Callithrix jacchus: one gene and its partners. The main gene of each other region encodes a partner of the protein of the gene in region 2 in a complex. Links are inferred from orthologs where the notes say so. Each region holds a gene or a part of one and is shown on either strand. Other genes may lie near its edges.

Region 1 (10,348 bases), on a different chromosome or scaffold from region 2:
CACACTTCTTCCTCTGTATCCAGTAGAAAGGAAATTCTTTCTCTTCTTTTCTTCCTTGTAAATGCCTTCTCATTCTTCATAACTAATTTGTGCTAGACATAAGATGTGGGATTTATCCCTACACATTCCTCTTGTAAAACTACTATAGTTCCCATTACAGGCAGAATGGATATAGACAGCTGTGTTTATATGTTAGGAACTGGGTAACCACGCAAGACAATTGAACCAGAGGTGAACCCCCGATTAAAGATAAGCTAAACAGAACTCTTACCCACGATTTTGGAATAGGAGTCTCTGAAAGGCTAAGCAATTTATTGAGCGGAACTGCACTGGAATATCACATTTTTTGGGGACAGAATTTTATTTGTCACCATGACAAGTGATAGACATTGCAAAGTACTATGGAACAGAAGTATAAGTGAGTCTGCAGAATGCTTTCTGTCTTGATTTTTATGAGCGGCATCAACCTATGTCTTTTTTTTAGCTTTTTCTAGTTTAAGTGCTGCTTTTTCTTTCTTGAAATAAAAGGGTGAGAGAAGGTGATGGTTCAAATACCACTTCTTCTCTGAAGCTGTTTCTAAGCAGTTACAGTCTGATTTAATTAATTTTAATCTGTTGTTGGGTGTTAATTTTTGTAGTATAATACAACATAATATATACATTTAATTGTGCAATAGTAAAGACCTAAAATTGAGTGCCTACATTCAGCTAAACATAATAGTATTCTCATGCATGCGTTAGTGTCACATCTACATTACTAAGGGAGCCATGACTCAATCCCCAATCTTTCCAATTCTAGAGACTGTTTCTAACCACTCTACTAACCAACTTCCAGCACTAATGTTCATTGTCTCCCTTGCTAAACAGTAAGTTCTTTGAAGTTAAAGACCAATGTTATTCACGTCTTTTCAAATGCTAGCATAGTGCTCACTGGCCATGGCAGGCTAAATAAATGTTTACTGAATTAAAATTCCCTAGCATTACCTAGACTGTAGTCTTAGATTAGTGATGTGATTGACTGTTTCTAAGCTGTCGACCCTTACACTTAATATATAAAGGCCCACATATGTACATACACTTTTGTACAAATATCGGATGCTTAAATTATGAAATTATTTTCTTCTTTAACGTATAGATAATGTATTTATTTTACATTTTGATATTGTCCTCAGAATAGTATTTTAGAAGTTATGAACATTGCAGTGGAAGACATTTTATAAGCCTAATGGTAGTTTTGTCTATTTTTCTTTAAGACTATGAAAGAAAGTCAGTAGTATGATAAAGTTTGATAATGTCACCAATTTAAAAACAAAGGGCCAGACTCATTCCTATCAATAGATGAAACAAAGTTTGAAATATTCAACTCTTCTAGCAAAACAAGAAAAGGAAGTGGTGAGAAAAGGCTTGTGATTTTATTTAACAATTATTTCAAAATCAAAATAATTAGAACAAGTCTAGCTTTAATTGAATGCCAGAGATTACTGTTCAATGTGAAATTGTTAGGATAAGCCTGTCTTTCCCTTTTTCTCCTTTGATACAGTTTAGCGAGAGCTTAATCATCACTTGGTCAGTGATAAGCAGGCATCTTGACATTTTGCCCATACCAGACTTTGAGTAGCTACAGAAAGCATGCATTTTGGACTTTGCTTCAACTATTAGTCATCCTACAACTATATTGGCACACAAACAAAAACTCTATACTCATGACACATTATTTGTTAGATCAAAAACTCTGGAAACAACTTAAATGTCACTGGTTAAAACAATTATGGTATTGCCATTCCAACATATTACGAACTTAATGTAACCTTTAAAAAGAATGAGTCACCTCTCTATGTATTATAGAAAATGATCTGCAAGACACATAAAGTAAAAAAACGAAGGTGCGGGGAAGTGTGTAGAGTATACTAACATTTGACATAAAAATACCTTGTGAAATTTTCCCAGGTGCATGTATTTTCCATTAAAATGCATTGTTTAAAAGTCACACAGCAACAACAGCATTGTAAACAATCATTACACAAATTGTTCTAGATTCCTTAAATAATCCTCTTTTGAATTTGCATTTTATCGGATTCCCATCTTCTAGCCTCCATTACTAGCTAGTAGAATATCTACAATTTTCTTGATATTTTCCACCTTAATAAATATGAAGAATTCTTTTTAATGAAAACCTTTTCCTAACTTCTCAGCTGGAATGGAAGAAGAGGCATCCCTCTTTGATTGGTTTTGTATTCCTCTACACATCTGTCATCTGGAGATGAGAAGCAAGAAGGGCTATCACGAGGGTCAATGTACTGAGGTCCCTTCCTGTAGAATGGAAGGGATCCAATAACTACAGCCCTTTAAAAGTTTGCTTTTTTCCCCACTTAAGCAGAAGGCTCTTCTTTCTTCTTTTTGAAGAAAAAGTTTCCTGTTTCCTTTCCTTGATTGTGCTTTATTGGAGATGGCAGGCCTTAGAATTGGCCTTCCTGGCACTTCAGAAAACAAGCACATGCAGAAAAAGAAAGTTTCTCCTGGGTGAGGAAGCTGAGACTTCCAGACAAAAGGAATGTAACAGCAGACATCCTGCCAGTTCCTCTCTCAGTGAAGAACCAACCAAAGCTTGTGTCCCATTGGTTGAGCCCCTTGAAATTGAACCACTTCCAGGAACACAAAAACAACAAACAGTCTAGGACATCTGCATTAGTTAAGGAAATATTTGCACAATTGATCAGTCACTACTATCCTTTGCTTGCCTGAAACACAGCATTTTGTGGTTTGGGCACAGACTTTAGAATACTACAGAAAAAGTATACATTGGGAAGTTTGCTTTCCCTTTTCCTCAGCATAAACAATATGAAATTCAGCAAGTAAAAATGCAAAGACAATTTAGATTTCATTCCTGTGGGTTTTCTTTTAAATGCTGTATCCCTATCCTCATTCCAATCAGTAGATTTCAGGCTAAACAATACTTGAAATATTAAACTCACCTAGCAAGAGCAAAAAAGAGTGGAATAAGGAAGGATTTGTAATTTTTAATTAATAATTATTTTAAAACCAAAGTAAGAACAAGTTTCCTTTGCATGTAGTAGTACTTAAAATACTTCAAATTAATTTGTTTGATATAAAATCTGCATGTATTTGTTAACTGTATTTATGGGCAGGCATCCTGTTCCCAACAACCTCCAAGTACTTTGAGGTATTATTTTTGTGGACAATTTTCTTCCTTTTCCAAAAATATTGACCGTTTAGGTAGGTATTATTAATTTATTGGAAACTATTTTTGAAAGCAGTAATGTAAGATTCACTCTCATTCTACTATGATCGTTTGAGTTTATCAACGCAGATTACATCTTTCTTTAAAGTTATTCTAGAACTGATCAGTATTTTCTTATATTTAGACACTGTCTTTTCTCTAATTATCTTTAAACATGTCACACTTCTGTTCCCGTAGAACACACACACACACACACACACACACACACCCCCCTAAGATCACAATCCCAAAATATGTCTACTTATAACATTTCATATTACATGTTAAATTTTATTTCAGAAACTATCACAGTCTAAAGAGAAATATAATTTAAGCATTAAGATAGTACATTTCAGAAAATATGCTAGTATTTTCTTGTTAAATTTTAGATACTATCATTTGTCATTCCAAGAGATCCTTGCATTCTAGACTCTAGAATTAAAAGGGGGAAAAGGTTATGCTTTTAAGAACTATAAGCTGAAATGATTTATTTCAATTCAATATAGAATATTTGTCAGTCAAGATATCAATCAATGTGTACAAAAATTTACATAACAGAAGGAATAATGGGCAGTGCAGCACCTTTAGAAAAATAATTAAAAGTTTTGTTGCATTTACAGGTAAGTGCCACACTGAGAATTTACAATACAGTAATTTACTGCAATCACAGGGGAGTTCCATAAAGAAACAAAGCTCTTACACTCCAGATTTTTGAAAGGTGTTATTGGAATGCTTAACTGAAACCACAGAACTTGTATATCCGTAGGATTGAGTTGATGAAGGTCGTGAAAGATTTTCGTATCATCTATTATATAAAAGGAGTTCACTGCACTTGGATAGCCGATTTAGTGTCTCTGACAAGTGTGAAGCCTAGAAGAATTACTGGCTTGATGGTGATCTTTCTGATTCCGGCAAGACAGACCTTCTCCGCAGTAACAGCGTTGGAATATTTCCAGCCCATGGGAGCCTTTTCGTCTGTGTTTGGTACACACTTGACCTTCTTTGAGGACAGGTTTACAGATCTTGGACCAGAAGTGTCTAGCACAACACAATCCTGTGGCGCAGTCTGACGATCGGAGACAGACAGAACCTTCTTGTCCTACACAGGAGAAGACAGCAGAAAAAAAGTACACAGTTACTGGTAAACCTGCATCATTTCATTAAATAATTCAAAAGACACCTCTGATGTGCTAAAAATGAGTCTTAACATCTTACCTTTGGTGTGATACATTTTTGAAGACAATGTAGTTCTTCTAGAATATCCATCCAAGGTGCTATGATCATTACCAAAGCTTTCAGTGATGGTTTCCTCAATTTCCTCTCGGAAATGAGTTTGCTCAGAAGACACACATATTCCTAAGGAAGCAGGAAATAGTGATTAACTTCAGGGTTGTAATGCATTACTGCTAACAGCTCTGACAGTGGCAGTCTGCTATGCCAGCACCAACTTGAGATACTTCGTTGCAGTGACATCATTTTAAAAACAAGCCGAACTTCCTCTCTACTGTTAAGGCAAAGCTCTCCAGATGGACAGAAGCACCAATGTGTACACTGTATCCAGTCAGTCATATGTTACATACCTAGTATAGCCGTTCAAAATACTTTCCCACCAACTGTGGTAGGGGCAAGTGAGATTTATGCCCATTTTAATATTACCCTTGGGTTAAGAAATAGAAAATCAGTCACTTAAAAAATGTTCTTAAAAATAACTTCTCTCCCCCTGGTGCTATGTGGGTACTGCCAGACTAAGTTAAGCAAATGCAATTCCAGCTGCCTGGAACATTGCAGTCTCACCCACCAGTTACTTTACTGTGTAATTTCTATATTACAGAGATTCAGTTAGCTCATCCCGGAGTACTGCTGGGTCCTAAGGAGGGCCGTCGCCCTGTTAGTTTATTTCGGGAGACCTCTTTAGCTGTTTAAATCCACCTCTTTGAAAAACTAAGAGTCAGTGGATCTGTGGTTGGGGGAAGAGTACCTATACTAAGGCAGCAGAGGGGAGAGGGAGGGGGAAGGATGGAGAGGTCAGGCTGTGCGCCTATCAAGATCTCTCTTGAAAACGGCCAATGCTGATAAATCACTGTCCTCTGGCCGACAACAGTTTCACCAAGGATCAGAAGGAGAGGCCAGTCTGGCAGAGCTGTGAGAGACAGAGTAAGAAAAATGGAAAGGGCAGCTGAACGCCAAAGCTGGTTTCTTTGGTCTCTCTGTATGATCCAGCCGTCCTACCCATCACCCCTCTTCTCAATTGACCTCAAGGTTCTCCCCAGACACATTTTTATGGAAGCGTCCACTACGAGGTAAGCCATTGTGTTAAATCATTGAGGGACCCAGAGGAAGATAAGGACCTCAGAGACCTCCGAACTTCTCTCTCCTTCCCGATCAAACACTTGCAATGAAGAAGATAACTTCAGCTGAATCTTGACTGCTGTACACCCATTAGCAGGTGGCGCCGCAGTGTTCTCAGGGCGGAGATTCCCCGCGCCTCCCCCCTCCCCCCCACCAACCCCATTTATAGAGGCTCAAAGGCCGGGCAGTTTTCGTGTGAAAGGGAGCTTTCAGAACTCACCATTTTTGCAGAAATTCCCGGGGCAGCACATAGCGTGACGCATGCAGCGTTTTCGGCGCTTCCTGCAGGCGAGACAGATTTGCACGCCCGCGTCCCCTCCGCGGGTGGGACTAGCGCAGTACTCATCGGTGGCGCACTCCTCGTCCTCTCCGCACGGGTATGGCTGTGGGAAGGGTTCGGGGAGAGGGTGAGGCATCCAGACGTTCAGGTACCCTCACTAGTGGACCTGATCACAGTCCCTATCTGTCCCCCTCTCCAGGACCTGTTACCATCCACGGCTCCCAAATGCAGTGTTACCAAATGCTCGCTGAAACGCACACACTCATCACGTTCTACTCCCTCCTCTCCAGATACGACCCTTTCAAGGTCACAGCATCCCCGGATTCCCCGACGCCTCTCACCTGGTAGTTGTCAATGGTCTGGTACTTATTCCCGCCAGGGTACAGAATTCCCGGCGCGGCGCTGACTGCAGAGCCCGAGTGCCCCGCAGCGCCGCCCAGCGGTGGGGGCAGGTTCTTGATGGCGTTGGAATTGAGAACCGAGTTCAAGGTGGCGCTCGCTCCCAGCAGAGGGTGGCCGCCGAGAGCCGCCGCTACCAGCGCAACCAAGACCCGGGCAGCTCCCGCTGCGCCCAGAGCCATCATCTCAGAAGGACTCAAGAGGGAGAAAGAGAAAATGACTGTCACTTTGCAAGCCTGGGTCCCCGCGAAACCGTGTCGGTGCGGCTGCACAGTCAGGGTTCCGGGAGCCCCCTGCGGTCCCAGAGTCCCGACTGCAGGGAGCACAGAGCTCTGAGCCGCCACCGCCACCGCGGCTGCCTTTATACCGCCGGCCCGGAGCATTCCGGCCCCTTGGGAGCGAGACAACAAAGCCGGGATGGGATTTCAAAGCGCTGGGAGGGGCTGGGAGGGGGTGTGTTTGTGTACATGAAGGGGGGGCTTTGACACTCTTCACCCACCGCCCTTGCTGGGTCGCTCGGCCCGCCCGGCTCACCTTCGGGGTGAGGGCGACCAGCGAGCATCAGAGCAGACGACTTTAATAAATGCAGGCGGCAGGAGGAACTCTGAGAACAGGGGTGCCCTTGCCTGGCGGTAAGGGTTGGATTATCCGGATCTGAAATACTTTTCAGAGCCGAGGGGGTGACACGCTCTGCAAAAGCACTTTTCGCCCCTCTCGCTTACGCCAACACTCGCTGACTGTGCACACAAGTCGTATTCAGTATTAAATACAAACCGATCTGTAATTCAGTGGCTCTAGCAAGACGCCTCTTTGCTCATTACTCATTAACCCTTTAAGAGTCGCAGCTTGTAGATCTGAGTTAGGTCCCTGGCTTTAAGGTCGTTCCGTTGCCCTCCTCCTCCCTCCCCCCGCCACTGCGATAAAAATGTGCAAAGAGGAGATTTGCACATCAAACGAGGGTAAGAAGGAAGAGGAGCTGATTCTCTTTTGATGGGAAGTTTAGAGAGGGAGGCGAGAGACTGGCGTTTAGAAATTAGATCAAGGTTGGAGTGGAGAGGGAAATGCCCGTCCGATAATCAAACTATTTAATGTTGTTCTTTGAATCAGGGCAGTCGCGGCAGTAGATGAACTTGATTAGGCAGACGAGTGAGATCAAAGTGGCCGGGGCCAAAGCGGACGGGGTCCAACGTGCCGGGTCAGTCGCCTTTCTCGGGTTCTGCCTTCTCAGTGGTGGGCTAATGCGGGGAGATAAGAAACCCTTAGGGCTTAGATCCCGACTTCCTCATTAGCAAACGGTTTCACAAGGCTTCCCAACGCAGTGTTTGCTCCCAAGTCAAACCTTGCACAGGACCACGCAATACACCTTCTAGGGAGATAAACTACGTGGAGGAGGAGAGCTGAAAGTGAATTAGACAGTGAATCTGACGTCATTGAAATTGCTGTGTAGATAGAATAAAGTAAGGCTGATATATAAGAATGGCATCATGCTTATAAATGGAAAGTCATCTATTTAATTCAACAAAAACACATTGGAAGCCTAGAGCCCTGGTACTGGGTGGCCCTCTGGGTTGTTGCCTCATTGTTTTAATGTTTAGGTGAGATGGGTGGTGGGGGAAAGGGCACAGTGAATACTAATATTTATGAGACAGAGTTCTCATTTTAGAGAATAAAGTTCTCTTTATTCTAATTACAGTAATAAAAGATGTAACAATAAAATTATAGAAATAAATATAAAAAATGTACATAATGCTTTTAAAGCAGGTTGATACTATAAGTGTCAGAAAATAAGCAACTGTTCTGTGAGTTTGGAAAAGGGAGATATGATTTAATAATCACTATTGAATAAAAAAGAGTAAGATATATTTGTTCCGTGCTCCTCTAAGCTGTATAGATTTAGGTTGTCTATAATGCTGACCTACTAAAGTCAGAACTGGGGCCACTACCAAGTAAAGCCAGTGAAGGTGTTAAAGTAACGAAATTCTCAACTTTAGTACGGGAAGGAGTAATTAAAACACAATTTGCCATGGTCTGTGTTGTAGTTCCTTTGGTCTCAAAGGTAATATTAAGAACATCATCTAAACAATTCTTGAATGGTGCCCTAGTTATACTGGCATCCCTCCCATCCCAAATTCCATCTGTCCAGGAAATTATCCTGTCAGGAATCAATGCGTTAAACACCTTCAGGGTACTAGAAAATCTGCAAGCTGTGTTAAGTTTGAATGATGTTGAAATGCAGAGAAAAATCCCCCTGCCAATTGCAAGGTTGAAAATGTTTCTTTTTAATCCTATTACCTGTTTAAATATTTAGAATCTAGAAATATATTTGTGCCCCACTTACGGCCAAACTCTTGCCTTTTTTACTGAAGAGATAGTACATGATTAATACATTTAATGAACTTAGTTCATTAAAAGCTTGGCTTCACAAAAAAATCCATTTCCTGGGGCAAAAGAAAAGAGTGGAACAATTTAATTAACAAAAGAATTCTGTTATAACAAAGAGGCCCGTTGCATAAATTCAACCTTGATCTCTGAACATAGGTCATAGGTCTATTATGTTTCAATATTCATTGAATCTGGACAGAATCGGTGGTATTGAGTTAGGAGAGCTAAACCAAGCACAGAGTTTCAAGAGTGGGCCAGCTTCTGCCTTCTTCATCTTTCACATTCCTGAAGTTGTCATGAATTTAATACGAAGAATGAGTTGGTCAATATCTGAGTTCGTACTTTGTGCTAAGTATTATACATAATCGAGTGATAAAAGATGAATTCTCATATAATCTGCCTTCAGATCATATAGTGGGCAGAAGAGAGGTAACCTCACAAAATATTCAGGTAAGAAATTATATGGGTGTTCCTCAGAGAGGGCTAAGAACACAGTAAACCAACCCTTTGTTCCAAATGGGGAAATATACTTTTTGAGTGGATTCTCCATTTGAAAATCCTTTCCAGGATGTGGTTTGCTCACTGGCAACAAGAGTGCAAGGTAGGTAAAGAGGTACAGTAAACCTCATTGTTTCATCAGCAGCTGGTTAATATTCAGTGAGTACCTGTTATTGGGAGCATATCTCAAAATATGAAAGGCAGATCTCTTGTCCTCAGAAAGCTTTCAGTCTGTGAGTAGTTGGGAAAACACAGTATACTTATATGGGGATGGAGGTAAACATTTTTCTAACATTGATTATATTTTGGCACATTCTTGGTCATGGGGAAATAAGAAAAAGGAGCAGGAACTGTGACCAACACCTGTCAGGAAAGAGAGAGAGAGTTCTGGTGATCGAGTCTTTCTTACAGCTGGGTGACAGAGGAGGCGGGCACCAGGGCAGGTGAATTTAGTTTATTAAACTGAGTTTATTTAGTCCTGTAGGGAACCCTGCCTCCTATTTGATTTGGTATAAATATGATCATAATTAATGCAACAAGTTTAATATTTTGTATTATATTTTTAAATAGGTGAAATATGCTTAACAGCGTGGAATTGAACCTCATAACTCAGGAACAGCATAATAACATATGTCTTCTTTATATTTTAAGTGCTGGATGCCAGGCATAGAATATTCCTCAACCTTTTCATCCATGAGGGAGACAGACAAATATACTCCAAAACACACCATGCTATTCACCGTTTTTCCATTTCTGTTATTTGTGACTGCTTAATTTTCTAATTTTATATATTTTTTTGAGACAGGATCTCCTTCTGTTGCTCAGGCTGGAGCACAGTGGGACAATCACAGCTAACTGCAGTCTTGACCTCCCAGGCTCAAGGAATTCTTCCACTTCACCCCCTCATCCCCCTACCCCATCCCACAGTAGCTGGGACTACAGTTAAATGCCACCGCACCTGGCTAATTTTTAACTTTTTTTGTAGAAACGGGGTCTCAATTTGTTACCAGGCAGAGCTGGTCTTAAACTCTTGGGTACAAGCAGTCCTCCCACCTTGGTTTTCCTAAATTGCTGGAATTACAGGCATGAGTCATGGTGCCCAGTCTATGGCTGTATTTTGAATTCCCTCCTTTCTTTTTTACTACCTTTCCTATCTTACTTCTTTCCTACCTTACTTCTTTCCTTCTTTCTCTTGATTAAAT
Region 2 (9,638 bases):
TTTTTAAACATTTTTGTGCCCTTTTCCATGAACTTTCTCTCTTCCTTCACGGCTTGTCACTTCTGGTACAAAAGGATTATCCCAGCAATATCAATCAGACGGCAAACAGAATTACAAAAATAACCATTTCTTCCTGCAGTGCTAAGTGATTCTTATGGCTCCTGGATGTTTAAGTGGCTCTAAGACATTGATATATACTGAGGTATAATTTGTCACTATGCTCGTCCTCAGAATATCACAGTAACAATAAAACTGTTGGGTATGTAAGAAGTGGTACTTCCCTAGACTATATAGTCAGGGTGGCATGGCAAAACGAAACAACAAGAAGCTAGGAGTAAAGCTGCATGGCCGGACAAAGTTCTGGAATTCAAGTCATTCACGTATTTAGGGAAACATAAAGTAAGCTATATTCTTACTATAAAATACTTAAAATGGAATTGAAGCTTCCAGGGAAAGGGAAAGAGTTCTGAAAACAATTTCTTTCCACATTTTTCATGGTAATGATGCAATATGAGCAAAATCTGCAGACAACACCCAAAGTCAGCAAACATGGACTTAATTTAGAAAGAAAAAATACCTAAAACATCCAAGGCAAAAAACTAGCAATTTTTTTAACTTGAGATTGTATTCTAATTACCTGTTTATTAGAAACCAATATATGTTATGTTATTTCAGTCAATGTTTTTAGGAACCTGTGAAAAATTGAAATACCACACAGAATTTACTATCAGTAGAGCTTCTTACCCAACCATGGGATCTAACACAATAGCCCGGGGTTCTTCTAAGTCCTCTGAAATCAAGATCTTCCTCATGGTCCCATTGAGCCTTGTCACTTCTATTCGATCAGTGCCAGTGTCTGTCCAATAAAGATTTCGTGCAATCCAGTCCACAGCAACACCATCAGGATGGGCAATTTGAGCAGTGACCACAAACTGACTGCCAGACCCATCTAAGAATGAACGGCGTATGGCCCTCACTTCATCATCAGTCCAGTAGATGTAGCCTTCCACAGGATCGTAATCTACGGCGATGGCATGACGGATGTCTTCCAACTGCAGAACAATGTCTGTAAAATCTGGTGTATCCAACGAAATGCGTCTCAAGTCTGTCCTTCGAGCTAAAAGCAGTAATTCAGTGGCACCTAGAAAAACAAAGCGAAACGAAAAACAGTTTGAAACCCGGAGGTAAAATTTATCTGCTCTAAAGAATCAACTGAAAAATAAATATAAAATATATATTAATTACATAAATTAACATAAAAGGATATGAGCTCTCTTTAGAGTGGAGCTGGAAGGTAATACAGTGAAATAGGGAGAGTCTACTCTGAGGGCAAGCTGTTTAACAACTATGTCTTCAAATCAAGTTGTGTCACACTCTATGGTTTCATTGATTCTACAGCTTCTGGAATTAATCCAGCTAGTTAAAAGTACAATGAATAATGACTATGTAATGACTAAGTAGCTGAGTGTTAAAGGAGAAAGAGATGGAGGATACAGAGTCTTTGTTCAAGAAGCATTTTTTTTAAAAAAGATAAAGAAATCTAGGACAAGAACCTTTGTGGTTGATAGCAATGTTCTAAAATTGGATTGTGGTGATAACTGCATAAGTCTGTAAATTTACTTTAAAAATCACTGAATTTTACACTTAAAAAAATGGACGGATTTTTATATGGTAAGTTATATCTCAATAAAGCTGTCTTAACAAAGAGAAATATAAGGCAGTACCTCACAGAATTGAGAACAAAGCAAGCTATGGAGAAGTAAACAGTAGCAACGGAGGGAAGAAACCAGATAAACATAACACAGTGGTTAACAGTAAGAGTTGCAGATCCAATATAATCTGATTCAAGTAGCTACACAAACTTTGGGAAAATATCTAATCTCTCTAGGCTTAGTTTTCTCATCTATACCTCGTAAGGTTGCTGTAAGGGTTAAAGGAGATAAATATATAACTCAGGAAGGTACTGAACATGGAAGTACTCAAGAAACATTAACAATACTTACTAATAGTGCTAAAAAATAAAGCACTGAATTTAAAATTAGATTTATTTATGAAATGTTTTAAGCCCAAGCCCCAAATATTCAACCACATAACTGAGAATGAGGATATTGAGCTCAATCTTTTTTCATTTTAAATGTTAAACCACCAACAAAAAATTATCTTACTATAAGAAGCTAATAAAAGACGGTAAGCAAATTGACAGCTGAAAGGGCAAGAAAAGATTCCCAGCTAAACGAATGAGTCCAAAACAGAATGCTGGCATATAAGCTTCAAGCGTCTATCTAGAATTACAGGTTAAAAGACGGAGAAAAGGAGTGAAGGCTCTCAATATCGGCTTTTTCACTCTAGAGTTAATTATAAATGAATTCCAACCTGGAGAAAATACAGCCCAAATGCGATAGCAGGAACCAAGCAGGAATAACTGCACAATTCACTGCTCCAGCTAACAACCAAAAGGCGCCAGCCCAGAACTTCACAAAGAAGTCATAGAGCTGTTAATTTGAGCAAGGTGATCAAAACAGAACAGTTAAACTTAAGGCTATTACATGCCAAATGCACACATGAAATTCAAAACTGGTTAAACACGTACACTTGCACTGCTGTGAGGGAGTAGATAGACCCATTATTGCTCAAATAAATCCTCTGTTTATGTAGTCAGGCTACATTTTTAAAGAAAAAAGCAACATTACAAAAACCTTTTGTTTTAAATTGAAACCAAATTGTTGTCTGCCATGGAAACCATTTGACAGGAGTCAGCCAGCTTCACCTTTTACTATAAGGATAATTTATCAATGCCAAGTCATAACAAATATCCTGTACACAGACTCAATTCCATCTCTCTGACTCCCTGGCCCCCTTGCCAGGGACTCTAACACACTCCAAAGTACAGGCTTCTGCTTTTCAGGTTAGATAAAGAAGCCATGGCTAAATATAACAATTTTCTTACCAGGTCTTGCTGGTTGCTAGAGAACAAGATGGTGATCCATAGGGATGAGAATGAATAACATTCTCATTAAGAAGAAAAACAGAAGAACTGGTGTTCTTCCAAACCAGAAGTCCCTTGAAATGTCCTAAATCAGTATACTTTCTCCAACATGCCCTCTCTCTATAGGGAATTAAGAGTAAGGAGAAGAGGCAGTGTGTTTCTTAAGTATAAAAAGAAGTTGTTTAAAACAGTACAATATGTATTTTTTTCTTCTTCTGAAAGCATCTCTATTGTTAAAAAGCAATTTAAAATATCCTTAAATCATTTGTTAGAAAATGTATCTCATATTCTTTGTAACTAAAAGTTTAATAAACATATTTCCTTTCAGAGATGTTCTTTATTTACAAATGCTACCTGTTAAAAATATATTCTTTATGAGAAGTAACACTCATTTCTATAGTTATCAATTTTGGTATCGATAACTATGAGATTTGACAGAAAAGATAGAGCATGTCATTTTTTTCAAAAATGTTACTTACAACACGAAAATAATGTATAAAATAGCATTCAAATGATGTCATAGAATAAAACACTCCTATAACCATGTGTGAAGATTGTGAGATTAAGTGACTGGTCTCCCAAAGCACTATAACCTAGACAGCCAATTATAGAAAAAACAAATAATGAGGAATTCCAATAGTTTTAAAACTTTTCATTTTAGATAATGTCTTACCATCTTTGCAAGTTTTTCCATTCTCCAGGAGTTTGACCCCAGTGGGGCAAGCACACTGATAAAAAGGTTTGACTGGAGACATCAAACACAAATGGGAACAACCACCATTGTCAATTGCACATAGATTTGTAGCTGTCAAATATAAATCACATTGATTAATACCAATGATTACTAAGTACACAAAGGTTAACAACCATAACATGAACAACTGTGATAAGCCAAAATTATTACCAAATGTCATGCAGGTGCTTAACTACCAAACCATTGCAAGGAAAGGAAATAATCAGTGTAAATTTACTAAGTATTTTGTATCCAAAGAATATAAAAGAAGTAAAACAGGAAATCCCTGCCCTAAAAGAGGTTATAATTTAGTCCATTAAACAAAATTAACAACAAAAAAAGAAAAACTAAAACAAATAGAAATCAAAAAAACTAAGTGTTATTTTACACATTATAGACAACAAGTACAGAGTCAAATGGGAAAAAAAAAAACCCTGAGGTTTAAAGAATTGAAGAACTTTGTGGAGGATCTAGCACAGGAGCCTTTAAGGATAATTATATCCACTTTGTGGAAGGATAGGTAAGAGGACATTTCAAGTGTGGTAAAGCTATCTGAATAAAACCTTGGGGGCCATAAACGAGTTAAGATAATAAGATCAACAGTATAACTGGAGGTTACGGTTTCTATTGACTAATAGAAACTAAAGCTGAATGAGTATGAAGAATGGGAACAGACTGAGGTGAAGGACACTGAAAGCCAAGAAAAGTAATTATGTTAACAAGTCATGCTTTGGGAAGATTAACATAGAAGGAATAAGCAGAAAAGTGGGGAAATAAAAAGCAGAGAAAACTAATTAGCAAAATTAGAAATTATGAAAAGGGACATGTCCAAACAATACTCATAGAAAAAAAATCAACAGAAGATGGAGAGCAATGGAACATGAAAGATAAAAGTAATCAATATGAAAGATAACTGTAAATTCTCAAATTACTAAAACATAAAGGACCAACAGTGCCATTTAAAAAGAAAAACAACGCCTGTAATCCCAGCACTGTGGGAGGCTGAGGCGGGTGGATCACGAGGTCAGGAGATCGAGACCATCCTGGTCAACATGGTGAAACCCCATCTCTACTAAAAATACAAAAAATTAGCTGGGCATGGTGGCGCGTGCCTGTAATCCCAGCTACTCCGGAGGCTGAGGCAGGAAAATTGCCTGAACCCAGGAGGCGGAGGTTGCGGTGAGCCGAGATCGCGCCATTGCACTCCAGCCTGGGTAACAAGAGCAAAACTCCGTCTCAAAAAAAAAAAAAAAAAAAAAAAAGAAAAGAAAAACAGGAGGCCAGGCACGGTGGCTTATGACTATAATCCCAGCACTTTGGGAGGATAAGATGGATGGATAATTTGAGTCCAGGAGCTTGAGACCAGCCTGAACAACATGGAGAGATGAGATCCTGCGTCTATAAAAAGTACTAAAATTAGGCCAGGTGCAGTGGCTCATACCTATAATCCCAGCACTTTGGGAGGCCAAGGTGGGCAAATCACCTGAGGTCAGGATATCGACACCAGCATATCGAGAAACCTTGTCTCTCCTAAAAATACAAAAAATTAGACAGGCGTGGTGGCACATGCCTGTAATCCCAGCTACTCAGGAAACTGAGGTAGAAGAATCACCAGCCTGGGCAACAAGAATGGAAGTCCATCTCAAAAAAAAAAAAAACTAAACTAAAATTAGCCAGGTATGGTGGTGGCAGCATATGCCTATAGTCCCAGCTACTTGGGAGGTTGAGGTGGGAAGATCGATTGAGCCTGGAAGTTCGAGGCTGCAGTTAGCTGTAATCACATCAACACACAACAGAGCAAGACTCCATCTCAAAAAAACAAACAAAAAACAGGGAAAATTCTTTTGAGGGCTATAGAGAATAAAAAAATTCATATGAGTGACTGAACGTTTTCTTTTGTACAGAACAGTAACACATACATTTAAAAACATTTTTATGGGCTCATGATCATTGGATTCCAACATAACACTTTCAATATTTGATTATCTCCACCTAAATGAAAAGAGCTAATATAAAGCAACACATGGTACAAACACTCTTCATTTTTGGCTATGGAATAAAATCTGAAATACACTCAGACACATGCCAGACATTTATTTACACACAAGTGCCAAACCCTTAACATTCTCATTTTCCTTTAAACCTAATTCCAGTCCTCTCTTACAAGTTGTCAGCAGTCATAGTCCAAGTCATTGTAAAGGCTGACCAAAAATAGAACCAAAACTAAGGAAAACAAGGTGGGAAGGCTGCACAGAAAAGTTTAAGTAGGTGTTTTATTTAGCAAGCTGAGGTACTTATATTCAAATAAATTCTAGATTAACAGAGTTTTCATTTAAAAAAAAGAGGGTTTTCTTTCCCCTGAGACAGAATTTCATTCTTGTTGCCCAGGCTCAAGCGCAATGGCATGATCTCGGCTCACTGCAACCTCTGCCTCCTGGGTTCAAACAATTCTCCAGCCTCAGCCTCCCAAGTAGCTGGGATTACAAGCATGTGCCACCAAGCCCAGCTAATATTTTTGATATTTTAGTAGAGACGAAGTTGCACCATGTTGGGCAGGCTGGTCTCAAACTCCTGACCTCAAATGATCCACCAGGCTTGGCCTCCCAAAGTGCTAAGATTACAGGTGTGAGCCACTGCGCCTGGCCCAAGAGTTTGTTTTTTAAACATAGTCACATGAACACACTCAACCACAATTTTTGAAAGAAATAATAGGAATAAAAAATTCATTTGTGTATAAGCCTAGCATATAAGCTATCTCAATTTTTAAATTATCTCTCTCGTCTCTACCTCTATAACTGCTGACCCAAGAAAAGTGCTGAGGGGGTCTGCAGTGACAGGCTACAAACGGCCTAGGCTACTATCTAACCGGAATTATATTTTCACATTTTTCCTTTTATTATTGAGACAGAGTCTCACTCTGTTGCCAAGGTTGGAGTGCATGGCACAATCTCGAGTAACTGCAATCTCCACTTCCCGTGTTCAAGTGATTCTCCTGCCTTAGCCTCCCAAGTAGCTGGGACTATAGGTACACACCACCACACCCTGCTAATTTTTTTTAGTAGAGTCAGGGTTTCGCCATGTTGGCCAGGCTTGCCTCAAACTCCTGACCTCATGTGATCCGTCTGCTTTGGCCTCCCAAAGTGCTGAGATTTTAACTCTTTTTTGTTCCCACCAACTACCTTTGGATATGCCCTCCCTCCTCCTGATCCTCACTAAAGCCAGACATTAGAGTGCTACAAAGCTGTTCCAAATTGCAATTTAAAAATCAAGGATCACTTACCATTTGGCTGCCTCTGTTGGCTGAAGACATGTATATCCATGGGCGAGAAGATGTTAGAATGGATTTCATGCAGACCCTCACCAGTATACTTGTTGCAAGCCAAAATGGAGTGTGTGTTCCAGTCAGTCCAGTACAATGTGTCCTCAAATAACGTCAAGGCAAAAGGATGTGGAAGGGAACCTTTAACCACTGCCTGCCTATTAACACAAAGAAAAATTCAAACTTACTTCTAAATTTTCTTCTTCTATCATAACGTCACCTCTCTCATTAAAGTAATCTTAGACTTGAGATTGTGCCACTGCACTCCAACCTTGGCAACAGAGTGACACTCTGTCTCATTAACACATACAAATCTTGAGTAACACATACCTTTAGGTCTAATATACCTATAAAAAGTAATTCACATGATGAATTCATGTAAGTTTTTTAAGGTGTCCAAAAACCCCCAAACAAGTACTTCGAAATGGCCCCTAACTTGGCAGCAGGCTCAAGTTCAGTATAAGATACCCGGCAGAGAGACAGCACTGCTTTTTCACTGTCTGCACTGCTGTCAAATCCTACCCTTCAACTACCATCTCTGGACTCAAAGCATCCATCCTTTCACTTAATTCATGTTATCAGACTGAGAAGGGTAAGTAATGAGAAAAATCACAGGGGTTACAGTTGGCACTGAAGTAGATTTATATAAGCAATAGGTTGCTTTTCTTCTTGATACAGAAGAACAAAGAATCTGAGCCCGTTTTGCCCATCCCTTCTTATGGTTTTGATAACTGAGAATGAAACATAAACATGAGGCCAAAATGGCATGCAGGTAGCACTCTCCCTGCAAACCCCAGTCTAGCTCCAGCAAATAATCATCTTAGCTGGCTTTTCACTATATTCAGGCGGCCAAAAAGAAGTCCTGCCACTGGCAGAATATGTGCAGGAGATAAAGCAGAACCAACATTTTCACAAGCAATACATACTGTTTAAAAGCAAAAGTAGACAGTCTGGTTAGTACTTAAGGCACAGAACTTTGTAGAGTATCAGAGACAGTTACGGAATAAGCAAATGCTCTGGAATAATGACCAAATCACGATTTGAGTCAAATTTAACATTCAAGAAAATACATGCTTTGATCTTTTCATAAATCCATTTTCCAATAGCCCACCCAGAAGGCAGAGATGGGCAGAGGAAGAGGAGGAAGGGAAAGAAAAACGAAGGGAAAGGGGAAAGGAAAACATAAGCTACTGAAGAGAAATCAAAAGTATCATATGTCTTAAGGAAGATGATTCAATTTTCAGGTCCTTGAGGTTAACTGATGATTTCTATTATCTAACAGACTACCAATATATTAAATCAAAAGCAATTCAGATCATTTTTATGTGCAAGCAGAATTAGCATCTGTGATTGCCCATGGAACAGTCTTAGTCTAAAGCATTATATATTCAGGCAAGATACCTGTACTCCCAACCCACATCACTAGTTTTCTCATTTTCCTTAATCCTCTCTTCCCTAAGTAAAAAGACTACTATTCTCTCTCATTTCCCAAAGAGAACTGCCACAATGCCTACTCCTGAAGTTCTTTCTTCCACTTTTTAAATGGACAGTTTTATTAAGTTTACTAAGGAGACTATATTCTTTACAGGGTGTCAGCACAGTTCACATTCAATTTTAAACAGACCTGTATATTTCACACTAAAGTCTTCTAAAATTCATGGTAAGACACGGAGAGACAACTGAGGAAGCTGCCAAAAAAGACAAGTAACACAAATGAAAAATAAAGAGTAGTTAAAACTAAGTTACTTCGCACTTCAACTATCTTAAAAAACTGCTCTGAAAAACTCAAGGGGGGAAAAAGCCTTAAAAGGGTTCTTAGTATACCATTAAATGAAAAGTTAAAATTCACTCTACTGAACTAAATAGGAAAATAATCATATGGAAAAGGCAAAATTCCCAAAAGCTATGTTCATTTTATATATTAATTGAACGTATAACATTAGAAATCAGAGATGAGCTTAAATCCCCACTTGACACTTACTACTGAAACCACTTCTGCAAGTTCTATTTCTTCATCTGTTAATGGAAGGTAATAATTTATTCTCACTGAGTCACTGTGAAGATTGAATAACATATGCAAAAGCCACTTGGCACTATGCTTGGTACTTAACACTTTCATTAATGATTCCTCAATTTTAAGACAGGCATTTTCAATATTTCAACATTTCTGATATAAGGGTAACATTTTACAATGTGAACATTTCATGTAGTAGTTTTTAAAATCAGCAAGTTCTTAAAATCAATGGCTTATTAAGATCAGTAAATACCATAACTTTTTTATGTGTGTGTGACTGAGTCTTGCTCTTGTCTCCCTGGCTGGAGTGCAGCGGCACAATTCTGGCTCACTGTAACTTCCACCTCCTGGTTCAAGTGATCTCCTGTCTCAGCCTTCTAAGTAGCTGGGATTATAGGCATGCGCCACCACACCAGGTTAATTTTGTATTTTCAGTAGAGATGGGGTTTTACCATGTTGGCCAGGCTAGTCTCAAACTCCTGACCTCAGGTGATCTGCCTGCCTTGGTCTCCCAAAGTGCTGGGATTTCAGGTGTGAGCCACCGCACCTGGCCCTAACATTAAATTTAAATGTCACTTTGTTTTCA
Region 3 (10,380 bases), on a different chromosome or scaffold from region 2:
TGCTCCCGCCTGTAAGCCCAGAACTTTGGGAGGCCAAGGCACGTGGATCATCCAAGGTAAGGCGATCAAGATCAGCCTGGCCAACATGGCAAAACCCTGTCTCTACTAAAAAAAATACAAAAATTAGCCGGGCATAGTAGTGGGAGCCTGTAGTCCCAGCTACTTGGGAGGCTGAGGCAGGGAGAATTGCATGAACCCAGGAGGAGGAGGTTGCGTGAGCCAAGATCAGGCCACTGCACTCCAGCCTGGGTGACAGAATGAGACTTTGTTAAAAAAAAAAAAAAATCAACAGCCCCAACCCAGTATCAACAGTCTGATTTATGTGTTGAACTGAATTTCTCTCAAATGCATATATTGAAGTTGTAAGCCGCAGTACCTGAGAATGTGACTTTATTTGGAAACAGGGCTGTTACAGATGTGTTTCGTTAAGATGAGGTCATTAGGCTGGGCTTAATCTGCCTGGCGTCCTTAGAAAAAGGGGAAAATTCAAATACAGAGAGGATGCCATCTGAAGATGAAGGCAGAGACTGGGGCTGACTCTTCTGCAAGCCAGTGAATGCCAAAGCTCCTCAGCAGCCAGCAGAAGGCAAGGGCAAGGCCTTCCTCACATCCTCAAAGGAACCAACTCTGCATCTTGAACTCACACTCCTAAACTCCAGCTCTGCGACAGCTTCTGTTGCTGATCCCGCCCCGTGTGTGGTACTGACTGACGGCAGCCTCAGCAAAGTGCCACCTATGGGGGCCTCTGTGTTGTGGGCGAGGGCGGGGACCTGGCTGAGTTTTCTGGAAAACAGCCCTGCAATACCCTCATCAGACCCACCAACTTTTCACTCCCTCAGACACAGCATTCACTTTGAGAAATAACTCTAAAGTTTTTTTGTTTTACTTTGTGGAATACTACTCAGCCAAAAAAAGGGAAAAAAGGAACATGTTACTGATATGTACAACTTGGATAACCCTCCAGGAAATTATGCTGAGTGAAAAAAAATCCCCTAAGGCTACATACAAATTTATTCCATTTATATAACTTTTTTTTTTTTAACAGTCTCACTCTGTCACACAGGCTAGAGTGCGGTGGCTCAATTTCAGCTCACTGCAACCTCTACCTCCCAGGTTCAACTGATTCTCTTGCGTTAGCTTCCTAAGTAGCTGGGACTACAGGTGCGCACCACCACACCAAGCTAATTTTTGTATTTTTAGTAGAGACAGGGTTTTGCCATGTTGGCCAGGCTGGTCTTGAACTCCTGACCTCAAGTGATTCACCTGCCTCAGTCTCCCAAAGTGCTGGGATTATAGGCGTGAGCCACTGTGCCCGGGTGCATTTAGGTATCAGTTTTGAAGTGAAAAAAAAAAAAAAGACAGAAATGGAGATTAGAATAGTAGTTGCCAGGGGTTAGATGTGGGAGGGAGGTGGGTAACGGGAGAAAAACCTGTGGTCACAGAGCTGTGGTTTATCTTGGTGGATCCCCAAATTTACACGTGACAAGATTGCATAAGAACTAAGTATACACACACATGAATAGTTGTGCACACACAGAGTACAGGTAACACTGTGGGAGATGTGGATAAGATTGGCTAATTGTGTCAATGTCAATATCCTAGTTGTGATATTGTCCTGTAGTTTCGCAAGGTGTTATTGTTGCGGGAAACTGGATAAAGAATACATGGAGTCTGTATTCTTTCTTTCTCTTTCTTTCTTCCTTCCTTCCTTCCTTCCTTTCTTTCTTTCTTTCTTTCTTTCTTTCTTTCTTTCTTTCTTTCTCTCTCTCTCTCTCTCTCTCTCTCTCTTTCTTTCTTTCTTTCTTTCTTTCTTTCTTTCTTTCTTTTTTTTCTTTCTTTCTTTTTTTGAGACAGGGTCTCACTCTGTTATCCAGGCTGGGGTGCAGTGTCACAATTGTGGCTCACTGCAGCCTCAACCTCAACCTCAACCTCAAGTGATCCTCCCACCTCAGCCTCCTGAGTAGCTGAGACCACAGGTGTGTGACCCCATGCCAAGCTAATTTTTAAATTTTTTGTAGAGATTAGGTCTCATCATGTTGCCCAGGCTTGTATTTATTTCTTACAAGTATATTTAAGCTTACAATTATATTCAAATTTAAAATTTTAATTAAAAAAATTACTCTGAGGCTGGGTGCGGTGGCTCACGCCTGTAATCCCAGCACTTTGCGAGGCAGAGGCAGATGGATCTGAAGTCAGCAGTTCAAGAGCAGCCTAGCCAAAATGGCAAAACCGTGTCTCTACTAAAAGTACAAAAAGTAGCTGGGTGTGGTGGCACACTCCTGCAGTCTCAGCTGCTTGGGAAGCTAAGGCAAGAGAATCCTTGAGCCCAGGAGGTGGAGGTTGCAGTGAGCTGAGATTGTCCCATTGCACCCCAGTGTAGGTGACAGAGCGAGACTGTCTCAAAAAATAAATAAACCATACAAAGATGTTCATAGTAGCCTTGCTGAGAATAGGAAAAAATTGGAAATAACCTAAACTACTCACAGTAGGAATGAGCTAAATAATTCCAGGGAATACTGTGAACAATGCCAAGTCTGTGGACTGAGTATAACTAAACGGCTGTGGATGACTTCGCATTAAACAAAATGGCACAAGATATCATAGCAGGTTCTTGCTGAGCCATTCAGAGGGATGGAGGTCATTTAGAGGTTCAAGTCCACTGGAGTCTTCTTTTTTTCATTTAATATTAGTTCACTTCCAAATAAAATAAGGAAAGGAAATCATGCCCAGTCCTGAGCCTTACCATCCTTGCGACTGAAGAATCGTCCTTCCTTTTGTCTCCAGCAGGTGGCAGACATGTTCCAGGGATGGATCCTGCTGTCTCTGCAGATGGTCCAGCCGCTCCCAACAGCAGGTGGGGCTCTAAGCATCCATCCTGTCTGCTCAAGGAACCCAGGCATCAGAACTGCTCTCTCGCAAGTCCATTGCAAGAAGGCAGTTGTCTGGCCACGAGAGGGTTAACAGTCCACATTCCAGAGCAAGGGAAAAGGAGGCTGGAGGGTCACAGACAAGGAGAGGGGGTGTGGAGGGCCAGCTTCTCACAACACTATCGGCTCTGCTGGGAGAGATAGATCACCCCCAACAATGGCCACAGCTGTTTTCATTTGCCCTGAAGGAAACTGACTTAGGAAGCAGGTATCAGAGAGGGCCCTTCCTGAGGGGGCTTCTGTCTGGCTTGTAAAACTGTCAGAGCAGCTGCATTCATGTGTCAGGTGATGGATGATGGAAAGGACAACAGTCAGCTGCAGATGGACACAGCCACTTGCAAGTTGAGGCAGGTGGCAAAGGCCTTGCAGAGGCTCTGCAGGTGGGGCGTACTGATTCATTCATTGCCCAGTTAAAATACCAGGAGGATCTGGGCAGCCTCTTCCCAGGAGCTGCTCATCCTCAAAGAATCTGTCTTCAATGAAAGCTTCCTCCTGCCCTCCTTTCTATTCTTGCACCTCAGGCGTGAACCTTTCTCCCCACTGCCTCTACCTGCCCCCGGGTCCTGTGCCCCTCATCCTATGCAGAGCCAAGTTTCTCTTAGCTGCTTTGTGACTGGTTGGTCCTGGGGTGGCTTCATGGAACACAACCTGTGGTATGCACCAATGAAGATTCCCATATAGGACCAGAAACTGTTTTTGAAAAATGTAACCGGATGGAAGGCGAGAAAAAAAAATGTCAGCACTAAAAAATGCTGGCCATAGCTTTTGCTAAGGAAAGGAATTTGGTGTTATCTGCTCGCACCCACAGCCTGGCTGGGAAATGACTGTCTTCAGCCCATCCCCCTGTGAGCCACAGTGAGGGTCCTGGCTTGGAAGTGCCTGTCATGCCTGTCGCGGTGCACAGGATCCCTGAGGAGCGTGAGCTGGGATTTCCTCTGTGAGCCACATCACGGGAGCCTGAGTGACCAGCACATCCTCCACTCGTAACCAGAGTCCTGTCCCCTCTCCCAAGTGGCCACCCTTGCTCTGGCCCTCTAGTTCTCTCTCTTGCCTTCCAGAAAATGCCAAGAGAGAGGCTTCCTTGGTCAGGACAGTCAGTGCTGAGACTTGTGGAGTTGGGACCAATGGGATTTCTTAAAAAGCATCTTTCTGCCTCTGGCTGGGTCTATGGGGGTCAAACAGACACCCTGTGGGCCATTTGTTGGTGGGGTGGCAAATGAACTTGGCTTGTTTTGAGAATGCCTGAGGGCCCAGGGACAATTAAAAGCCGGAGCTCATTTTGATATCTGAAAACCACAGCCACCAGCACGTGGGAGGTGCTGGAGAGCAGGCTTGGGCCAAGCCTCACACGCCCCCTCTCTCTGGGTCACCTGGGAGTGCCAGCAGCAATTTGGAAGTTTGCTGAGCTAGAGGAGAAGTCTTTAGGGAGGGTTTGCCCTGAGCACACCCCTTTCCCTCCCCCCGGGGCTGAGGGAAACAGGGGACCAGCCCTGCCCCAGCCTGTCCTCATTGGCTGGCATGAGGCAGAGGGGGGCTTTAAAAAGGCAACCGTGTCTCGGCTGGGGACCAGAGCCTGTGCTACTGGAAGGCTGCGTGCCCTCCTCTGGCTGGCACCATGCAGCTCCCTCTAGCCCTATGTCTCATCTGCCTGCTGGTGCACGCAGCCTTCTGTGTGGTGGAGGCCCAGGGGTGGCAGGCCTTCAAGAACGATGCCACGGAAATCATCCCTGAGCTGGGAGAGTACCCCGAGCCTCCACCAGAGCTGGAGAACAACAAGACCATGAACCGGGCGGAGAACGGAGGGCGGCCTCCCCACCACCCTTTTGAGACCAAAGGTATGGGGTGGAGGAGAGAATTCCTAGTAAAAGGGTCCTGGGGAGGTTTTAGAAACTTCTCTTTGGGAGGCTTTGAAGACTGGGGTAGACCCAGTGAAGACTGCTGGCCTCTGCCAGCACTGGTGGAAGAACAGTTTTGACTGGAGGCGGGGGAAGGATGGCTCTGGTGCAGCCTTTGAATTCAGGTGCAGGGGCATGAGGCCAGGTGGAGTCTGTCAGTGAGAGTCCAGGGCAGGGAGGAGGCTGGGGTGGTGAGGGTATGGCATCAGGGCATCAGAACAGGCTCAGGGGCTCAAAAAAGAAAAGGTTTCAAAGAATCTCCTCCTGGGAATATAGGAACCACGTTCAACTGCTGGTACCATTGGGGAGGGAACAAGGTGAGGGAGCCTCCCATCCACAGAGCAGCAACTGTGGGGTGCCAGACACTCTATGCTGCCTGTGGCTGTCCCCACCACACAGGAATCCCAGGAGGTGAACCCCCAGCTCAAAGGGAAAGAAACAGGTTCCAGGCACTCAGTAACTTGGTAGTGAGGAGAAGAACTTGGTTTGATTCAACTGCAAGACAGCCCTGGTGTGCAGGTGTGCTGGGGACAGATCCCCACAAAGCAGTGGGGAGGAAGGCCAGAGAGGCACCCCTGCAGTGTGCATTGCCCATGGCCTGCCCAGGGAGCTGGCATTTGAAGGAATGGGCATTGTCGGCACAGGTTTAGCCCCTGACATGGGTGCAGCAGTGTCCAGGTCCTAGAGGGCACACAGCATCCTCTGTGCCGGAGTAGGCACATCTGTCCTCAGTGGCCAGCCCAGTCCCAGCCTTGCCTCATTCCAGGGGAGGGAGAAGGAAAGGAGAACCCTGACAGGTTCCTGTCAGGCCTGCACAGAGAAGCCCAGTTGACAGTGTGCACATTTGCTTCTACGGTTGGCAGGAATCACGGGGCTGTGGGTGGGGACAGGAGTGACACTTCAGACCAAGGGCTTCACTGCCCTCTGGCCATTATCCAGGTGGCAGAGAAGCCCACTGCCCAGGCTCCTGCACCCCAGCCTTCTCTGCCTCACAACATGTTGGGGTTATGGGGTGCTAAAAAGGGCCACCACAGGGGAGGCCAGCCAGGACCCTGTGCCTTTGAAATGGAGGGCAAAGGTGCCTCCTCCCACAGCCCCCCTTCTAGGCAAGGTCAGCTGGCCTCCAGTGACTGCCTGAAGGGCTGTAGGGAACCCAAACACAAGCTGTCCACCTTGCTGGGCTTCCCTGAGGCGCCACGGCCCCGAGGAAGCCACATGCTCAAAACAAAGTCACAATCTGCAGAGGAAGTGACTGACCTAAGGGCACTATTCTTGGAAAGCCCCAAAATGCCCCCTTCCCTGGGCAAAGGCCCCCCCAGTACACATCCCAGCCCTACAAAGGTGAGGGTGCAAACCAGAAAGCAACCCCAGACGATGGCAGTGGCCACATCTCCCCTGCTGTGCTTGCTCTTCAGAGTGGGGGTAGGGTGGGAGTGGCCTTCTCTGCCCCCTCTCTGGTTTGGTCTGAAGACTATTTTTGATTCTTTCATGTCACATCGGAACTATCCCCATGAAACCTCTGGGGGTGGACTGGTACTCACACAAGGACCAGCTATTTAAAAAGCTCCCACCCAAGTCCACAGTAGGAGACATGGTCAAGGTGTTCTCAGGGGATCAGGCCATTCCTCCAAACCCAATCTCCGCCCGCCCAGGGAGTATCACCATGAGGTGCCCATTCAAATAACACAGAACAAGAAATGTGCCCAGCAGACAGCTGGGTGAATGTATGTGGCTGCTGCACCTGTAGGTTTTGGTCAGAGTTGAGGCCTCTACTAGAGCAAAAAGCAGCCCTCAGCTCTGTCCCCCAGCCCAGCCTCCCACCAGTGCTCGAACGCACAGCCTCCACTCTTATGGGAGCCAAAAGGTGCTGCGACCCCAGGAAGTGAAGTCTGGATCACACAGCCCTGTCTTTTGGGCACGTTCTTTTCTGTGGCTGGGCCTCAGTATTCTTACTGATAACGAGAGGGTTGGACACTGTGCCTTTGATTCCTTTCAAGTCTAATGAATTCCTATCCTGATCACCTCCCCTTCTGTCACCTCCACAGCAGCTGCCCTGATTTATTACCTTCAATTAACCTCTACTCCTTTCTTCATCTCCTGTTCACCTCCCCCCAAGTGGCTGGGAAAGGAATTTGGGAAAAGCCAGAGCCAGGCAGAAGGTGTGGCGAGTACTTACTTACCCTGCCCAGGCCAGGGTCCCTGCGGCATAAGTGTGGCTTAAATCATAAGAGGACCCGTAGGAGAGAAATAATAATAATACATAATAACAGCTGATGCTTCCAGCTGTGTGTGCCAAATGGCATTCTCTGCATTGCGTGCCTAATGGATTAACTCACAATGCTTGGGGCAGCCCATTTTACAGACTGGAAGAGAGAGGTTAAGGAACTTGCCCAAGATGCCACCTGCAGTGAGCGATAGCCCTGGTGTTTGCACCCCAGCAGCCATTTGGCTCTGAGGAGACAGGGTGCGCAGGAGAGCTTTCCACCAGCTCTAGAGGATCTGGGACCTTCCTGCAATAGGTGTTCAGGGGCAAAAACCTCTGGAGACCGGGAGAGGCGGGCTTTGCAAAAGCAGGGCTGGGGTGGAGGGGGCCAGGACGGGCCAGAGCTGTGGTGGCCGCGTGGGCGGCCACCCTCACGCGTGTCTCTCTCCGCAGACGTGTCCGAGTACAGCTGCCGCGAGCTGCACTTCACCCGCTACGTGACCGACGGGCCGTGCCGCAGCGCCAAGCCGGTCACCGAGCTGGTGTGCTCCGGCCAGTGCGGCCCCGCGCGCCTGCTGCCCAACGCCATCGGACGTGGCAAATGGTGGCGCCCGAGCGGGCCTGACTTTCGCTGCATCCCCGACCGCTACCGCGCACAGCGCGTGCAGCTGCTGTGTCCCGGCGGTGCGGCCCCACGCGCGCGCAAGGTGCGCCTGGTGGCCTCGTGCAAGTGCAAGCGCCTCACCCGCTTCCACAACCAGTCGGAGCTCAAGGACTTCGGGCCCGAGGCAGCGAGGCCGCAGAAGGGCCGGAAGCCGCGCCCCCGCGCCCGGGGCGCCAAAGCCAACCAGGCTGAGCTGGAGAACGCCTACTAGAGTCCACCCACACCCCACCCCGCGGCAGGCGCCCCGGCCCTGCGCCCCATATTTCTGTCCTCCACGCGTGGTTCGATTGTTTATATTTCATTGTAAATGCCTGCAACCCAGGGCAGGGGGCCCAGACCTTCCAGGCCCTGCAGCATCCCGGGCACCAGCAAGGCTCACCTCAGCCGGTGGTGATAGGGGAGGGAGTTGAGAGTCACAGACACTGAGCCACGCCGCCCCGCCTCCGGGGTCGCCTACCTTTGCTGGTCCCACTTCAGAGGAGGCAGAAATGGAAGTGTTTTCACAGCCCTGGGGGTTTAAGGGAGCCGTGTGGGAGTGTGACAAGTCCAGGGACCGGTTAAGAAAGTTGGATAAGATTCCCCCTGCACCTCACTGCCCATCAGAAAGCCTGTGGCTGCCCAGAGCACAAGACTAGGGGCATCTGTAGATGTGGTTTCTAGTCCTGTCTCTGCCACTAACTTGCTGTGTGACCTTGAACTCCACAATTCTCTTTCAGGACCTCAATTTCCACTTTGTAAAATGAGGGTGGAGGTGGGTTTAGGATCTCGAGGATTCTACTGGTGTATGGTTCCAAGCACTCCAGTGCCTTTTGAATGGGCAGAGATGAGAGAGAGAGAGAGAGAATACATGAATGAGGTTGCATTGACTCAATGCCAATGTCACTTCCAGAATTCTGAGTTGTGATGCTCTCATCTGACAGCCAAAGATGAGAAACAAACAGGAAAAAGAAAGAGTAAAGAGTCTATTTCTGGCTGACATATTTCTGGCTGACAAACCCCTGGAAGAAGCTAAGTTGCTTCCCAGCCTGGCCTCCCAGATGTTTGGCTATCTCCACCCCTCCATCTCAAAGGAATAACATCATCCACTGGGGCAGAGAAGGAGAGGGTCCTGAAGGTGGTGGGAGGGATAGAAACCACATCCCTCACCGACTTCCCAAAGAGCAGCATCCCTGCCCCGACCCACAGCCATTTCTTAAAGTCACCTCCGAAGAGAAGTTCAAGGTCCCACAACACTAGTCTAGCAGGCCCGAGAGAGCAGCCACCACACACTCCCAGACCAGCCACCTTCTGCCCACCGCTCACAGACACATTTCTGCCTAGAAAACAGCTTCTTCCTCCTCTTACATGTGATAGCATTTCTTACACTAAAAGAATATTATGGGGAGAAAGATCACAAGTGCTGTACATATGCTGAGTGGCTGCAGAGCGTAATAGCTGCCACCCAAAAATCTTTTTTAAAATCATTTCCAGACAACCTCTTACTTTCCATGTAGTTTTTGTTTTTTTTAAAAAAATGTTTTAAACAGAAGCAGATGCCATACGAAAGCCTGCAGGACTGGTCGTTTCTTACAATCCTTCCACGTGGGACTTGTCCACAAGAATGAAAGTCGTGGTTTTTAAAGAGTTAAGTTACATATTTATTTTCTCACTTAAGTTATTTATGCAAAAGTTTTTCTTGCAGAGAATGGCAATGTTAATATTGCTTATGAAATAACAGTCTGTTCTTCCAGTCCAGAGACATTGTTAATAAAGGCAATGAATCATGACCGAACGATGTGGTCTCATTTTGTTGACCACACGCGATACCATTTATGTCAAAGTTGACACCCTTCTGTCGGTCACTAGGGCTCAAGCCTTGGACACAGCTTTGACGGCTCTCTGGTGGCCCTTGTGGCAATTATGTCTTCCTTTGAAAAGTCATGTTTGTCCCTTCCTTTACAAACCCAGACCTCATTTCTTCACCCAGGGCATTGTCATAACCTCAGCCTTGTCTCCTTTTACAGCCTGCCCTCCATGCTGGCTTCCAAAAATGCTGTTCTCATTGTATCACTCCCCTGCTCAAGAGCCTTCAATAGCTCTCCCTTGCCCAGGATCAGGTGCGGGTTTCCCAGTCTGACATGGGAGGCCGTTCCTGCTTGACTCCCACCTCCTACTCTGCCAAGCTTCCTACCAACTCCAAATGGTCGTGCAGGTCCCTGCTTCCTAAGTTTGCCATCTACACTGAGCACCCCAATAACTAATCCCCTTTCTTTAGGATTCATGTTGTCACCTCTTCCCCCCATGTTGCAGAGTAGTCCATCTCCCACGATCCTCTCTCCTCCGAGGTTCCAGCCCCTTTTGTCCACACCACTACTCTGGTTCCCAATTCTGTTTTCCATTTGACAATCATTCATGGAGGACCAGCCTGGCCAAGCCCTGCTTAGTAGAGGCATAGATAACAGGAAGCCAAGTACAATTCAGGACCAGCTCAAAGGGAGTTTCGTCTTAGTTCCAAGTGTGGATTTTATGCCTCCCGGGTGAAAATGTAGGATCTTCAAAAGCAGGGCCAACGTCCTGTACTTCTCTCAAAGTCTCACCTCTCCAGGGTGTCTAATAATGCTGGATGCTAGCTGAGTTAGCATCGTCAGATAAAGAGTAACTTCAATGTGACCCTTCAGTTGCCCTAAGATGGGCTGGTCAGCTGGAAAGCTT

The links.
Region 1: the proteins of LRP6 (region 2) and DKK1 are in contact, whole or in part, in a crystal structure (PDB 3S8V), measured with the Homo sapiens proteins. The link is inferred for Callithrix jacchus from reciprocal best matches to the Homo sapiens genes LRP6 and DKK1. Residues at the interface, in NP_001401174.1 of Homo sapiens: Arg639, Glu663, Ser665, Ile681, Tyr706, Glu708, Thr724, Arg751, Trp767, Gly768, Gly769, Pro771, Val790, Gly791, Arg792, Asp811, Thr812, Asn813, Leu814, Pro833, His834, Phe836, Trp850, Ser851, Tyr875, Met877, Arg1184; in NP_036374.1 of Homo sapiens: Glu185, His204, Phe205, Trp206, Ile209, Gln218, Val219, Thr221, Arg224, Arg225, Ser228, Gly230, Leu231, Glu232, Ile233, Phe234, Arg236, Ser258, Leu260.
Region 3: the proteins of LRP6 (region 2) and SOST are in contact, whole or in part, in a crystal structure (PDB 6L6R), measured with the Homo sapiens proteins. The link is inferred for Callithrix jacchus from reciprocal best matches to the Homo sapiens genes LRP6 and SOST. Residues at the interface, in NP_001401174.1 of Homo sapiens: Arg28, Asp52, Val70, Ser71, Glu73, Leu95, Ser96, Asp98, Glu115, Arg141, Trp157, Trp183, Asn185, Ala201, His226, Phe228, Trp242, Met269, Arg336, His361, Asp379, His404, Asp406, Thr422, Glu447, Arg449, Trp465, Trp491, Asn493, His534; in NP_079513.1 of Homo sapiens: Leu115, Pro116, Asn117, Ala118, Ile119, Gly120, Arg121, Arg169, Thr171, Arg172, His174, Asn175, Gln176, Ser177.

The regions. Positions count from the first base shown.
Region 1 is NC_133513.1:77,881,363-77,891,710, forward strand, and holds DKK1 (dickkopf-related protein 1 precursor), read right to left. Parts: upstream 6,632-10,348; 5' UTR 6,452-6,631; coding exon 6,209-6,451; intron 5,971-6,208; coding exon 5,808-5,970; intron 4,595-5,807; coding exon 4,454-4,594; intron 4,338-4,453; coding exon 4,084-4,337; 3' UTR 3,237-4,083; downstream 1-3,236. UniProt on the Homo sapiens protein: Antagonizes canonical Wnt signaling by inhibiting LRP5/6 interaction with Wnt and by forming a ternary complex with the transmembrane protein KREMEN that promotes internalization of LRP5/6.
Region 2 is NC_133510.1:11,101,266-11,110,903, reverse strand, and holds part of LRP6 (low-density lipoprotein receptor-related protein 6), read right to left. Parts: intron 7,197-9,638; coding exon 7,000-7,196; intron 3,792-6,999; coding exon 3,660-3,791; intron 1,142-3,659; coding exon 745-1,141; intron 1-744. UniProt on the Homo sapiens protein: Component of the Wnt-Fzd-LRP5-LRP6 complex that triggers beta-catenin signaling through inducing aggregation of receptor-ligand complexes into ribosome-sized signalosomes.
Region 3 is NC_133506.1:70,624,145-70,634,524, reverse strand, and holds SOST (sclerostin), read left to right. Parts: upstream 1-4,495; 5' UTR 4,496-4,542; coding exon 4,543-4,762; intron 4,763-7,478; coding exon 7,479-7,900; 3' UTR 7,901-8,640; downstream 8,641-10,380. UniProt on the Homo sapiens protein: Negative regulator of bone growth that acts through inhibition of Wnt signaling and bone formation.